3 linked regions of the Saccharomyces cerevisiae S288C genome follow. Each later gene encodes a partner of the first gene's protein in a complex. Each region holds a gene or a part of one and is shown in the gene's direction. Other genes may lie near its edges.

What was found.
Region 2: the proteins of RPN11 (region 1) and RPN2 are in contact, whole or in part, in a cryo-EM structure (PDB 5MPE), measured with the Saccharomyces cerevisiae proteins. Residues at the interface, in NP_116659.1 of Saccharomyces cerevisiae: Thr18 (codon at 1,841), Gly19 (codon at 1,844), Arg20 (codon at 1,847), Asp21 (codon at 1,850), Val58 (codon at 1,961), Asp59 (codon at 1,964), Tyr61 (codon at 1,970), Asn167 (codon at 2,288), Leu168 (codon at 2,291), Pro170 (codon at 2,297), Arg171 (codon at 2,300), Thr173 (codon at 2,306), Thr174 (codon at 2,309), Ser175 (codon at 2,312), Asn176 (codon at 2,315), Thr177 (codon at 2,318), Leu179 (codon at 2,324), Lys182 (codon at 2,333); in NP_012190.1 of Saccharomyces cerevisiae: Lys324 (codon at 3,411), Phe325 (codon at 3,414), Ser326 (codon at 3,417), Leu327 (codon at 3,420), Gln360 (codon at 3,519), Asn361 (codon at 3,522), Trp362 (codon at 3,525), Arg398 (codon at 3,633), Phe399 (codon at 3,636), Glu437 (codon at 3,750), Ala475 (codon at 3,864), Gln509 (codon at 3,966), His510 (codon at 3,969), Gly511 (codon at 3,972), Asn512 (codon at 3,975), Phe651 (codon at 4,392), Glu692 (codon at 4,515), Leu694 (codon at 4,521), Trp740 (codon at 4,659), Trp742 (codon at 4,665), Phe743 (codon at 4,668).
Region 3: the proteins of RPN11 (region 1) and RPN5 are in contact, whole or in part, in a cryo-EM structure (PDB 3JCK), measured with the Saccharomyces cerevisiae proteins. Residues at the interface, in NP_116659.1 of Saccharomyces cerevisiae: Pro46 (codon at 1,925), Met47 (codon at 1,928), Glu48 (codon at 1,931), Gln73 (codon at 2,006), Ser74 (codon at 2,009), Gly75 (codon at 2,012), Thr76 (codon at 2,015), Gly77 (codon at 2,018), His111 (codon at 2,120), Phe114 (codon at 2,129), Trp117 (codon at 2,138), Ser119 (codon at 2,144), Asp122 (codon at 2,153), Lys148 (codon at 2,231), Gly149 (codon at 2,234), Gln186 (codon at 2,345), Ile189 (codon at 2,354), Trp221 (codon at 2,450), Gln222 (codon at 2,453), Leu225 (codon at 2,462), Lys226 (codon at 2,465), Met227 (codon at 2,468), Asp229 (codon at 2,474), Tyr230 (codon at 2,477), Glu231 (codon at 2,480), Ala298 (codon at 2,681), Asn301 (codon at 2,690), Ser302 (codon at 2,693), Ile305 (codon at 2,702); in NP_010134.1 of Saccharomyces cerevisiae: Gln242 (codon at 3,068), Tyr273 (codon at 3,161), Gly274 (codon at 3,164), Asn275 (codon at 3,167), Leu276 (codon at 3,170), Asn278 (codon at 3,176), Asp279 (codon at 3,179), Leu280 (codon at 3,182), His282 (codon at 3,188), Lys283 (codon at 3,191), Asn385 (codon at 3,497), Gly387 (codon at 3,503), Ser409 (codon at 3,569), Leu412 (codon at 3,578), Asn413 (codon at 3,581), Trp415 (codon at 3,587), Ser416 (codon at 3,590), His417 (codon at 3,593), Asp420 (codon at 3,602), Glu421 (codon at 3,605), Leu422 (codon at 3,608), Leu423 (codon at 3,611), Glu424 (codon at 3,614), Glu427 (codon at 3,623).

Annotation. Positions count from the first base shown.
Region 1 is NC_001138.5:151,604-155,999, forward strand, and holds RPN11 (proteasome regulatory particle lid subunit RPN11), read left to right. Parts: upstream 1-1,789; coding exon 1,790-2,710; downstream 2,711-4,396. Other genes in the region: linker nucleoporin NIC96, read left to right, coding at 1-932; type 1 protein phosphatase-activating protein YPI1, read right to left, coding at 1,054-1,521; mRNA splicing protein SAD1, read right to left, coding at 2,924-4,270. UniProt on the Saccharomyces cerevisiae protein: Component of the lid subcomplex of the 26S proteasome, a multiprotein complex involved in the ATP-dependent degradation of ubiquitinated proteins.
Region 2 is NC_001141.2:217,363-223,141, reverse strand, and holds RPN2 (proteasome regulatory particle base subunit RPN2), read left to right. Parts: upstream 1-2,441; coding exon 2,442-5,279; downstream 5,280-5,779. Other genes in the region: SPO22 (Spo22p), read left to right, coding at 1-205; phosphoglycerate dehydrogenase SER33, read left to right, coding at 652-2,061; SEC28 (coatomer subunit epsilon), read right to left, coding at 5,594-5,779. UniProt on the Saccharomyces cerevisiae protein: Acts as a regulatory subunit of the 26S proteasome which is involved in the ATP-dependent degradation of ubiquitinated proteins.
Region 3 is NC_001136.10:188,580-192,761, forward strand, and holds RPN5 (proteasome regulatory particle lid subunit RPN5), read left to right. Parts: upstream 1-2,344; coding exon 2,345-3,682; downstream 3,683-4,182. Other genes in the region: snoRNA-binding rRNA-processing protein NOP14, read right to left, coding at 1-2,007; LDB17 (Ldb17p), read left to right, coding at 4,171-4,182. UniProt on the Saccharomyces cerevisiae protein: Acts as a regulatory subunit of the 26S proteasome which is involved in the ATP-dependent degradation of ubiquitinated proteins.

The DNA of each region.
Region 1 (4,396 bases):
GGGATATCAGGTTCGCAAACATACTAGCTAATTATACCAAGTCCTTTAGGTATTCAGATCCTAGAGTTGCTGTCGAATATTTGGTTTTAATAACTCTAAATGAAGGACCTACCGATGTCGAGTTATGCCATGAGGCGTTGAGGGAGCTAGTATTGGAAACTAAGGAATTTACTGTTCTTTTGGGTAAAATTGGACGCGATGGAGCTAGAATTCCGGGGGTGATCGAAGAAAGACAACCTTTATTACACGTTCGTGATGAAAAGGAGTTTTTGCATACAATTACAGAACAAGCAGCAAGAAGGGCAGACGAAGACGGCAGAATATATGATAGTATATTACTGTACCAGCTTGCTGAAGAATATGACATAGTTATTACCCTCGTCAATAGTTTATTAAGTGATACACTTAGTGCGTCAGATTTAGATCAACCATTGGTTGGACCTGATGACAATAGCGAGACGAATCCTGTCTTGTTGGCTAGGAGGATGGCGTCCATATATTTTGATAATGCTGGTATATCGAGACAGATTCATGTTAAAAACAAAGAAATTTGTATGCTGCTCTTAAATATCTCCTCTATCAGGGAGCTATATTTCAATAAACAATGGCAAGAAACACTATCCCAAATGGAGTTATTGGATTTACTTCCTTTCTCAGACGAGCTATCTGCTAGAAAGAAAGCACAAGATTTCTCTAATTTAGATGACAACATTGTGAAAAATATTCCAAATTTGTTGATTATCACTCTAAGCTGTATATCGAACATGATTCATATCTTGAACGAAAGTAAGTATCAATCGTCCACAAAAGGTCAACAAATTGATTCCTTAAAAAATGTTGCGAGACAATGTATGATTTATGCTGGTATGATTCAATACAGAATGCCAAGGGAAACGTACAGCACTTTAATTAATATAGACGTCTCTCTATGATTTTTTTAAATATTGTATATTTTTGTTTATATCTATATATCAGTATGCGCGCATACTTAGTAAAAGTATAAAAAGCCATTTGCTGCTTCATCGAATATTTTGGCTTTCGTTGTACAAAGCCTCAGTCCTTCTTTTCCTGCTGTTTTCGCCTGTATTCAGAATAATCTGGTTGGATTTCATAAGCATTGGGGCTATATGACCTTTTTTTCTCAAGTTTACGATGGCGCCTTTCCAATCTTCTTTGTCTACGTTCGTTAAAGTCAAGATCCTTCTCATTCTCAGATTCTGAAGAAGAGGATCCGGAAGAAGAGGATCCATCATCATCTGAATGATGGTTGCACTCTTCTTCATCCTCATTTTGTGGATGAAAAATGCAGCATATCTTGGTCTTTTTTTTATTCATGTTTTCATTGTCAATCACATTTTCTTCCCATCTTACATTGTGCCTTGTAGGCATTGCCTCCTGGCTTCTTGGAGGATCTTGAGTTGCTCGAAGCTGCAAAACTGCGGGAACCTCTTCCACACTCACCGTTCGGGACCCTACGGTCTGTTGTTGTTCTGATCCCATAGCCATTTGATTTCCACTCATCCTTATAGACTTAATTGAAGACTTAGCTCGCAACTCCTGGCAGTTATAAGCTCTTGGGACCCTTGACTCGAATTGTTTCTAAATGATAAATACGGCCCCTTGTTTATACTGAAACGCACGTCGCTGATGATTTCGGACCTCCAAGGTGGCAAATTCACAAGAAAAGCCTTTAAGCTAAGAAACGGTTTATGACCAGTATTAATATTGAGAAAGAAAAATAGCAGGTGATAACACAATTAAGAGGACTTAACAAGAAAGACGAGACATAATGGAACGACTACAGAGATTGATGATGAATAGTAAGGTGGGGTCCGCGGACACCGGCCGTGACGATACGAAAGAAACTGTTTATATTTCTTCGATTGCGCTTTTAAAGATGCTAAAGCATGGTAGAGCTGGTGTTCCCATGGAAGTCATGGGGTTGATGTTAGGTGAGTTTGTCGATGATTATACGGTTAACGTTGTGGACGTGTTTGCGATGCCTCAATCGGGTACCGGAGTTTCTGTTGAGGCTGTCGATGATGTTTTCCAAGCGAAGATGATGGACATGTTAAAACAAACGGGCAGAGACCAAATGGTCGTTGGCTGGTACCACTCTCATCCAGGGTTTGGCTGTTGGCTATCTTCTGTTGATGTTAATACTCAAAAATCTTTTGAACAACTAAACAGCAGAGCTGTTGCTGTCGTTGTTGACCCTATTCAATCCGTTAAGGGAAAAGTTGTCATCGATGCTTTTAGATTGATTGACACGGGCGCATTGATAAATAACTTAGAGCCTAGACAAACAACCTCCAACACAGGCTTATTGAACAAGGCCAACATTCAAGCCTTAATTCACGGTCTGAATAGGCATTACTATTCTTTAAATATTGATTATCATAAAACCGCGAAGGAAACCAAGATGTTAATGAACTTACATAAAGAACAGTGGCAATCAGGTCTTAAGATGTACGATTATGAAGAAAAAGAAGAATCAAATTTGGCTGCTACAAAGAGTATGGTTAAGATAGCCGAACAGTACTCTAAGAGAATAGAAGAGGAAAAGGAATTAACCGAAGAAGAACTTAAGACAAGATACGTTGGTAGGCAAGATCCAAAGAAGCACCTTTCCGAAACAGCAGATGAGACACTAGAGAACAATATTGTTTCTGTGCTGACGGCGGGTGTTAATTCAGTGGCAATTAAATAAACAAATTTTATAAAGTCATTATGCATTAAATAACTAGAAAGCCCACTACATATATATTATATTGTATTTTTCTAAAAATTCTAATGAAGTAGTTAATGGAATGAATGGGAAAGAGAAAACGCGTTAGGAGGGAAAAGGCTCCTTAAATAACAGTAAAAATGAAATGGCTACTGGTAGTCCCAGTGCCAATTTTTTTTTTTACTTTCTTTTCTTTCACTCTTGCTTTTCCCATACTTGTATAAACGTTTCCTTCAAAAATAAAAGCTCGGCTTCTCTCTCTGTCGTATTTATGCCATCTATTTCTATCCATTTTTCACTTTTGTTATCATACAGCTGAGTAATCCAATGGCTTTTTTCATCACCATTAAATGCGTTTCCATCTGTGGATGGTTGTTTAATGACCACATGGACCACATTTGCTTTTAAGCGATACTTGACGTGCAAAATTTCAAGTTCACTGGAAAATTCCACCAACGTTTGGTTTCTATTTTTGACAGGATGATCACTGTTACGGTCAAACCTATTGAAATGAAATATTAAAAACTGCGGTAATCGCGTTAGTTCAAAAACGGTGCTAGTAGAGGAGCTTCTTGACTTAGTAAATTTAGTCAATAATTTAGTGATATTTATTTGTGGGAGATCATCAACGCTGTTGCCATCTTCAAAGGGTGAAAACTCCGGCAAATCGAGAGTCAGAACCCAAAATGGTTTGACAATGACTTTTCCTGTAACAGACTCACTGGCCTCAGGCTTATTTTCAACTTTTGCTATCTTTACTTTGCCTTTACAAGAATGGTTTAAAATTGACTTTAAGTCGTTCGAGGACGAGCAAATTTTATTGAATAGCCACAAAAGGAAGAGACGCGGGTCTATAGGATTTAAATTTAAACCTTCTCTAACTTTCAAATAGGATACAAAATCGTCAACTGAAAGATGATGTTTGAATAGTTTAGGGGACCAAATTTTCTTTACACATATGGATAACCTTTTGATAAATTCCCCTTGATTATCAAAATGATTCAGTAGGAAGTGGTCCCGCACTGGAACCATGTGCGATATCAAAAGCAATACACTATGCGCATAGTCATAAGTTGCCGCATTGGTGAACCCTATAAATCCATTCAGATATGTGCGATTGCTCAAATCAAAACACTGTCTCGGAAAATCTTCTAGATCTTTTGGACAATAAGTCGGATAAGCTGCAAATTTTATGCTGTTCAACAATTGAACCTCACCGTCATGTAAAATTTGGACATTTTGCGGCAACATGTAAAACTTCAAACTTGTCAAATTCAAGAAGACGTGATGGTTTTCATCAATTGAATGTATGAAAGCAGGACTCTTTTCATGTCTCCCCTGATAATAATGTCCACACACGAGGCAACAATATACATTCAAAGGGGACAGAGTAATGCAGCAAATTTTCTCAGAATCGAAATCTAGTTTTTCTCTTACTACAGTCTCAAGATAGGCATAGTTTGGTTCCTGAGACTTTATCTTTTTTACTGCCTCCTGTTTTAACTCATCTTCTGAATGTCTCCTTTTGTTATCAACCTCCATTATAAACAGCGCTTTAGGTTAACGCCCACTAAATGATGAACCATGAAGAGCATGGTTAGATTGCTGCCAATTTTTTTTCCTATTTCGTCATTTTTTTATCAAGATTTTCCAGTTTTTTTTTTTTTT
Region 2 (5,779 bases), on another chromosome or scaffold:
AGAGTTAGAAACTATAGCCACTTACTGTTGGAATATCGGCGTCAATTACATAATCAAAGACAACAAAAGCAATGGAATTGTTTGGTGTAAACATTCAATGGGGTTCGCAAACATGGTTAATGAAGGCTTGCAGGAGCAATTGTACTCTTTATGGGAGTCTTTAGCAAGTTCGGCAAATATCGATATCAATAGTATTGCTAAATAAACCTTTTTTATTCCATTTACTGTCGTTTATACTGGCTGACCCTTAATTCCCTAGCAATCTTTGCCTGCACCCGTACCAGGAAGCGTGATAGAATCGGTAGCTACAAAATTTTTAGCATAGTTAATAAGTGCTATTGTTTTTCATAATGTCACGTGCACTATCAATAATATTACACTCTTGTTCTTGCCAAATATACACAAAATGCCACATTTTTTTCTTTACACCGAAGAATTTGGCCGTCAGCCGGACAGCGCTCAGATTAATTGTGGGCTAGATTCTTCACGCTGGAAACGAGTCACCGTTATGAAAACTAATGGAATCTCCCAGGTTTAATACATAAGAAGGTTACGAGCTACTACATTAAAAAATACTTTGTCTGTTTTAGCTGTAGATTATTGTAACATTAAAAAGTAACAAACACTGATTTCGGGTATTTCCTCCCTAACATGTCTTATTCAGCTGCCGATAATTTACAAGATTCATTCCAACGTGCCATGAACTTTTCTGGCTCTCCTGGTGCAGTCTCAACCTCACCAACTCAGTCATTTATGAACACACTACCTCGTCGTGTAAGCATTACAAAGCAACCAAAGGCTTTAAAACCTTTTTCTACTGGTGACATGAATATTCTACTGTTGGAAAATGTCAATGCAACTGCAATCAAAATCTTCAAGGATCAGGGTTACCAAGTAGAGTTCCACAAGTCTTCTCTACCTGAGGATGAATTGATTGAAAAAATCAAAGACGTACACGCTATCGGTATAAGATCCAAAACTAGATTGACTGAAAAAATACTACAGCATGCCAGGAATCTAGTTTGTATTGGTTGTTTTTGCATAGGTACCAATCAAGTAGACCTAAAATATGCCGCTAGTAAAGGTATTGCTGTTTTCAATTCGCCATTCTCCAATTCAAGATCCGTAGCAGAATTGGTAATTGGTGAGATCATTAGTTTAGCAAGACAATTAGGTGATAGATCCATTGAACTGCATACAGGTACATGGAATAAAGTCGCTGCTAGGTGTTGGGAAGTAAGAGGAAAAACTCTCGGTATTATTGGGTATGGTCACATTGGTTCGCAATTATCAGTTCTTGCAGAAGCTATGGGCCTGCATGTGCTATACTATGATATCGTGACAATTATGGCCTTAGGTACTGCCAGACAAGTTTCTACATTAGATGAATTGTTGAATAAATCTGATTTTGTAACACTACATGTACCAGCTACTCCAGAAACTGAAAAAATGTTATCTGCTCCACAATTCGCTGCTATGAAGGACGGGGCTTATGTTATTAATGCCTCAAGAGGTACTGTCGTGGACATTCCATCTCTGATCCAAGCCGTCAAGGCCAACAAAATTGCAGGTGCTGCTTTAGATGTTTATCCACATGAACCAGCTAAGAACGGTGAAGGTTCATTTAACGATGAACTTAACAGCTGGACTTCTGAGTTGGTTTCATTACCAAATATAATCCTGACACCACATATTGGTGGCTCTACAGAAGAAGCTCAAAGTTCAATCGGTATTGAGGTGGCTACTGCATTGTCCAAATACATCAATGAAGGTAACTCTGTCGGTTCTGTGAACTTCCCAGAAGTCAGTTTGAAGTCTTTGGACTACGATCAAGAGAACACAGTACGTGTCTTGTATATTCATCGTAACGTTCCTGGTGTTTTGAAGACCGTTAATGATATCTTATCCGATCATAATATCGAGAAACAGTTTTCTGATTCTCACGGCGAGATCGCTTATCTAATGGCAGACATCTCTTCTGTTAATCAAAGTGAAATCAAGGATATATATGAAAAGTTGAACCAAACTTCTGCCAAAGTTTCCATCAGGTTATTATACTAATTACTCAGATAAATAAAAATATATGTATAGATTTAAAATCCTCCCCTATCTTCATAGTATGTAAGATATGTTGAAACGGAATCGAGTAAAAAAATAGCCTTTGATTGCCCATTAAACTCCACAAAGTGCTGTCTCACGATTCATGGACGATAATCTGTCGAGCTTTTTCGATCTGCCTCTTATTGCCATTATTTCGAGGGTTTAGTGCGGGTAATAGCATATTGCTTTTCAATAGGAGAAGGGCGCATTTCATTTATTTTCGGTGGCAAAACTGGATACATAAAAGTATAATGCTTTGAATCCAAGGGAAAAAAAATTGTGGAACTCTATCCAGTAAAAGACCACCCAGAATAGATTGAGTTCAAATATAACCGGAAAAGATGTCTTTGACGACTGCTGCTCCTCTTTTAGCATTGTTGAGAGAGAATCAAGATTCTGTTAAAACATATGCCCTAGAATCTATAAATAATGTTGTGGACCAATTATGGTCTGAGATCTCGAATGAACTGCCGGATATTGAGGCATTGTATGATGACGATACCTTTTCAGACCGTGAAATGGCTGCTTTGATTGCATCCAAAGTTTATTACAATCTTGGTGAATACGAATCGGCTGTGAAGTATGCACTTGCCGCAAAGGATCGTTTTGATATAGACGAAAAGTCACAATTTGTTGAAACTATAGTCTCAAAGAGTATTGAGATGTACGTCCAAGAGGCTTCCAAGCAATACACTAAGGACGAACAATTTTACACCAAGGATATTATTGACCCAAAATTAACCTCTATTTTTGAGCGAATGATAGAAAAATGTTTGAAAGCTTCAGAATTAAAATTAGCTTTAGGAATTGCCTTAGAAGGTTACAGATTGGATATCATTGAAAGTGCTTTAAAGAGCAAATTGGATCAGGATTCCACTTCTGAAAACGTTAAAATTATTAACTACTTATTGACCTTAGCTATAACTACTGTGACAAATTCCAAGTTCAGATCCTCGATATTGAGAAAATCATTTGATTTCCTAATGAATATGCCTAACTGCGATTACTTAACGCTCAATAAAGTAGTTGTAAATTTGAATGACGCCGGATTGGCACTTCAGCTATTTAAAAAATTAAAGGAAGAGAACGATGAAGGATTATCTGCTCAAATTGCATTTGATTTGGTTTCGTCTGCGTCTCAGCAGTTGCTTGAGATTTTAGTAACCGAACTAACTGCCCAGGGTTACGATCCTGCCTTATTGAATATTCTATCTGGGCTACCGACTTGTGATTATTACAATACCTTCCTTTTGAATAATAAAAACATTGACATCGGTCTTTTAAACAAGTCTAAATCATCTTTGGATGGGAAATTTTCTTTGTTCCACACCGCAGTCAGCGTTGCCAACGGTTTTATGCACGCTGGTACTACCGACAATTCATTTATCAAGGCGAACTTGCCATGGTTAGGTAAGGCTCAAAATTGGGCTAAATTTACAGCTACAGCCTCTTTAGGTGTAATTCATAAAGGCAATTTATTGGAGGGTAAAAAAGTCATGGCCCCTTACTTGCCAGGCAGTCGAGCTTCTTCTAGGTTTATCAAAGGTGGTTCATTGTATGGTTTGGGTTTAATTTATGCTGGCTTTGGTCGTGATACAACTGACTATCTGAAAAACATAATAGTTGAGAATAGCGGAACTTCAGGCGATGAAGACGTAGATGTATTGTTACATGGTGCTTCACTGGGTATCGGTCTTGCTGCTATGGGTTCTGCTAATATTGAAGTTTATGAAGCCTTAAAGGAAGTTCTGTACAACGATTCTGCCACATCTGGAGAAGCAGCTGCATTAGGTATGGGTCTCTGTATGCTCGGAACAGGTAAGCCTGAAGCGATTCACGATATGTTTACATATTCCCAAGAAACGCAGCATGGCAATATTACTCGTGGTCTAGCCGTTGGTTTAGCACTGATAAATTACGGCCGTCAAGAGTTAGCTGATGATTTAATTACTAAGATGTTAGCAAGTGATGAGTCCTTGTTACGCTATGGAGGTGCATTCACAATCGCGTTAGCGTATGCGGGTACGGGAAATAATTCAGCTGTCAAGAGATTACTGCATGTGGCAGTCTCGGATTCTAACGATGATGTCAGAAGGGCAGCAGTCATCGCATTAGGGTTTGTTCTCTTGCGTGATTATACCACTGTACCAAGGATTGTCCAACTTCTATCTAAATCGCATAACGCTCATGTCAGATGTGGTACCGCATTTGCTCTTGGGATTGCTTGTGCCGGCAAGGGTTTACAATCAGCTATTGACGTTTTAGATCCGCTAACAAAGGACCCAGTAGATTTTGTTCGTCAGGCTGCCATGATAGCTTTATCCATGATTTTGATTCAACAAACAGAAAAACTAAACCCTCAAGTTGCTGATATTAACAAAAATTTTTTGAGCGTGATTACAAACAAACACCAAGAAGGTTTAGCCAAATTCGGTGCATGTGTGGCCCAAGGTATAATGAATGCCGGTGGGCGTAATGTTACAATTCAGCTGGAAAATGCGGATACAGGCACATTGGATACCAAGTCCGTAGTTGGTTTGGTCATGTTCTCACAATTCTGGTACTGGTTCCCACTGGCTCACTTTTTATCCCTTTCTTTTACACCAACAACTGTCATTGGTATTCGTGGTAGCGATCAAGCTATACCCAAATTTCAAATGAATTGTTACGCTAAAGAAGATGCATTCAGTTATCCGAGGATGTATGAGGAAGCAAGTGGTAAGGAGGTAGAGAAGGTAGCAACAGCTGTTCTTTCCACGACAGCAAGAGCAAAAGCAAGGGCAAAGAAGACAAAGAAGGAAAAGGGTCCAAATGAGGAAGAAAAGAAAAAAGAGCATGAGGAAAAAGAAAAGGAAAGAGAGACGAATAAAAAAGGCATAAAAGAAACAAAAGAAAACGACGAAGAATTTTACAAAAATAAGTACTCTTCTAAACCTTATAAAGTCGACAATATGACCCGTATACTACCACAACAATCGAGATATATTTCCTTTATTAAGGACGACAGATTTGTTCCTGTACGTAAATTCAAAGGAAATAACGGTGTGGTGGTTTTAAGAGATAGGGAACCCAAGGAACCTGTAGCACTAATTGAAACTGTTAGGCAAATGAAAGATGTTAACGCTCCACTTCCAACCCCATTTAAGGTCGATGATAATGTCGACTTCCCTAGTGCTTAGATCAAGGGTGCATGGTCGTACAGAAAATGAAGAATTAGTTCAAAATGCCAGAAAATAAATAATAGTGTACATACTTTTAAAAAAAAATCATTGAATTATTCTGCCAGGATTAGCTACTTTACGCATAATTCTAACGTGACAAATGTTGTTTCCGCTTTGTTAATTATACTTTATATGATTTTGTTCAAGCCATGTCAACCTCATTTATGGTACCATCTTATTCGGCTTTATCAAAATAGTATATAGGCATATACATGAAATATTTTTTTCTTTTTCTAAAAAACCTACATGTTTAATGTGAGATATTACGTAAATCAGTTGGACGTATCATATTTCCTCACTAATTCATCGAATTTTGCGTCAATTTCTTGGTGATGCTTGATGAATGCATGTTCGTGATCCAATTTAACCAATTGATTTGTTAAATCTTCAGTATCAAGACCTTGCATAAGAGCAAGCGTAATTTGGTTTGCTAAGAAAGTAGGTTTGTACAATACGGC
Region 3 (4,182 bases), on another chromosome or scaffold:
ACTTAATAACTGCTGAATCGGTAAAATAATTTCATTGAAAGCAGGTAAGCTCTTCCACACAGTAGAGATAGTTGCATCTAAAGATTCCATAACATTTAGTAAAACGGAGACACATTGATCAACCGGATGTGCCTCGGTATCCATTGTTGACAAGGTATGTAATGGAATAATAGTTGATCTCTTTTTTGTAAAGTCAACGTCCAATGGAAGCCCCAACTCGTAAGAGTCTAGTCTAATATTTTCAAAATCTAATGGTTTTTCTTGATTTTCTTTCTCAACTATAAAAGTGAGTAATATTTTTTGAAAGAAGTAAACCACCTCCGGTATGTACCGTTTGGAAATGCGTTGATATTGTGAAACAATCCTTACCAAGACAGCGCCAAAAGCTATCCTCTTTAAAGAATTAAACTTGATTTGTTCCAGGAACTGGCTCATTAAAATCAATGCTGGAGTTATTACTAAATGGTACTGGTCCGAGGTGGAGAAAAGAATACCAATAATGGAAAAAAATACCAGATCACCATTTGATAGAGCATCAAAATGGTTCTTTTTATAGCGTGCTTGCATTTCATTGATATAATCTCTACACTCCTCGGAAAGCTCTCTATTATATTTCTCTGAAAGGGATTTTAGAATTGAGATCAATGCATTTTGTGTACGTTTAAAACTTTGAACGTTTTTAAGGTAGTTTTGATTGCTTAGAAAAATGATGTGTCTCAGTAAAACAGCGGTGAATTTTCCTAACTTTTCCTTATTACCTTCAGCCAATTTTGGTTGGTAAGCTTTGATAATATTCTTAACAATCTTAGGATGATCATCTAAGTCTAATTTTTTTACTTGATCTAATAACGCATCATGAGTTCTAGGGCATGAAATGGAAATGTTCTTTTTCTTTAAAATTTGAGAAAACCCTTCATCTCTGCCTTGATCTTCAAATTTGATATCATCATCAGAATCAGCAATACCGTCATTATCGTCTTCATAGTCTTCTTCATTTTCCCAGAATCCATCATCCAAATCCTCTACTCCTCTTTCTTCGCCTTCTTCTAATTCAATCATACCGTTCATACGATCAAGACGCTGTTGTTCCAACTCCCGTTTTTTTTCTTCAGCTTCAGCGTTTTTCTCCTCTTCAGTTTTAGTTCTATCAGAGGGTGCAGCTCTTTTGTCCAATTGTAGTTCTTTCACTTTGATATCATACTCCTTATCTAGATCGGTCTTAGGTTCCATTGGATTCTTCTTGGGTTGCGTCATCATCAATTCAGACATAACATCCTCGAAATTATCATCCAGATTATCTATTTGATCTTCCATTATACCTTGAGCCTTTTGTCTTTCTTGTTTGTAAAATTTTGATTTGGCAATGACCTCTTTCATGACTTCAGCTTTGGTTTTTTTTCTTTGAGGTTGCTGTAGCTCAGCATCATCTTCATTGAATCGTTTGGAAGCTAAAAAATCCTCTTCATCATTGGCAAGCTCATCTTCTAGGGACAGCGATTGACCTAAATGTGTAAGACCGTCTCCAAACATGTCACCGTCGTCTTCATCGTCTTCAAGATTGAATAAATTTGCGTTTCTCTTTGATTGGCTTTGTCTTTCTCTGGTGAAACGTTCCAACATTTTTTCTTCTTCCGTCAACAACTTGTCTCTTTCACCAAATCTCTTATCGATCACACCACCACGTTTATTCTTCATCATTTTTCTTGCTTCAAATGCACGCTTTCTTTGTTCTTCACCGATCTGTTTAGAGATACCAGGCTTACCCACAGCAATACGATCAGCAGTTTTAGAAGGCAGACCATCTCTCCTCTTATTCCTTGCAGCCTTTATTTCAAACGGATTAAACTCTTCTCTGATTTCAGCAATGGCCTTTTTTTTTTCTTCACGATCATACTCCTTCGCTTGTCTTTTGGAATTCTTTTTATTCTTACTTTTGACGTTTGTTTGACCTGTGAGTCCACGGGCCTTCAAGGCGGCCTTTAAATTCTTAAGTTGTGAACCGGCCATGTATTTGATCTTCCCTTTTATTTGCTTCTCAACTGTACTATTTACAGTAATAATTAGTGCAACCTTCAGATGCTTCTCGCTAAATGCTCATCTCTAAATTATCATTATTATTCCTAATAAATCCTAAAATTTTTCACTCGTTCTGTACGGCTCATCGCCCCAATATTACCCGTCTTGTATGTGATCTTTTTGACTTTTCGGTGGCAAAATGCAAAGGGGAATCCAAGGAAAAACCATAACAGGACACTACATCAGAGATAATCTTGAATTAAGAGAGTAGAGGAATATACTGCTGGGCTCACTACCATTTTTGTTGCTAGAGTAAACGTAGAGAAAGATGTCAAGAGATGCACCAATTAAGGCTGACAAGGATTATAGCCAAATTTTGAAGGAAGAGTTTCCTAAGATCGATTCGCTCGCTCAAAATGATTGTAACTCTGCTTTAGACCAACTGTTAGTGTTGGAGAAGAAAACCAGACAAGCTTCAGATCTGGCCTCCTCGAAAGAAGTTTTGGCCAAGATTGTAGATCTGCTAGCATCAAGGAATAAGTGGGACGACCTAAATGAGCAATTGACTCTACTCTCAAAAAAGCATGGTCAGTTGAAATTGTCAATTCAGTATATGATACAAAAGGTTATGGAATATTTGAAAAGCTCGAAATCTTTGGATTTAAACACCAGAATTAGTGTCATTGAAACTATCAGGGTGGTTACAGAGAACAAAATATTTGTAGAAGTGGAAAGAGCTAGGGTCACCAAAGATTTGGTGGAAATTAAGAAAGAAGAGGGTAAGATTGATGAAGCTGCAGACATCTTGTGTGAGTTACAGGTTGAGACCTATGGCTCCATGGAAATGTCTGAGAAAATTCAGTTTATATTAGAGCAAATGGAATTGAGTATATTAAAAGGTGATTATTCCCAAGCCACGGTGCTTTCAAGAAAAATTCTGAAAAAAACTTTTAAAAATCCAAAATACGAGTCATTGAAGCTAGAATATTATAATCTTCTGGTAAAAATTAGTTTGCACAAGAGAGAATACCTAGAAGTTGCGCAGTATCTGCAAGAAATTTATCAAACAGACGCCATTAAATCAGATGAGGCTAAGTGGAAACCTGTTTTATCGCACATTGTATATTTCTTAGTCCTTTCACCTTACGGCAATTTACAAAATGATTTAATTCACAAAATCCAGAATGATAACAACCTGAAAAAATTAGAAAGCCAAGAATCTTTAGTAAAATTGTTTACTACGAATGAGTTGATGAGATGGCCAATTGTTCAAAAAACCTATGAGCCCGTCTTAAATGAGGATGATTTGGCATTTGGTGGAGAAGCTAATAAGCATCACTGGGAAGATTTACAAAAAAGGGTCATCGAGCACAATTTAAGAGTCATTTCCGAATACTATTCCAGAATTACTTTACTAAGATTGAATGAATTGCTGGACCTAACGGAGAGCCAGACGGAAACATACATCAGTGATTTGGTAAACCAGGGCATCATATACGCTAAAGTTAATCGCCCAGCCAAAATCGTGAATTTTGAAAAACCAAAAAACTCAAGCCAATTATTGAACGAATGGTCACATAATGTTGACGAACTATTAGAACATATAGAAACAATAGGCCATTTAATTACAAAAGAGGAAATCATGCACGGTTTGCAAGCTAAATGAAGAGATTTTCGAGTAAGTGTCGGATTATCTCAGATCCGGTTTTGATTTTAAATCTGTTACTAATCGAAATGTGTATTTACGTACGTGAGATAAAATTATCTATGCATATATATAACTCAAATGGAAAATGGCCACGTATTGCTCTCATTCTCTTCACTTGCTTACACAAAACATAAGGTGACAATTAATGGAATTTTAGTTTTTCAATTTTTCAGGGGAAAGAAGACACCCAAAAAAAAAGTGAAAAGTCAAAACGGTAAACTGTTTATGGTATTTAAATGACATTAATAGCAGCGTAAAGAGTCATTTTTTCGTTTGATTAGCAAAACTCTGAACATTAATTACTACACCTATAGACATATCTTTAAACAGTGAAATATTTTTTTCATTTAGTAAACAAGAATTAAACTTTGAATATTTTTTTTTCGATTAACTTATGTCACTTTAGCCTATACTTTCTTCGAACATTTTTCCTTTCATTTTGACTCATGATATTAGAT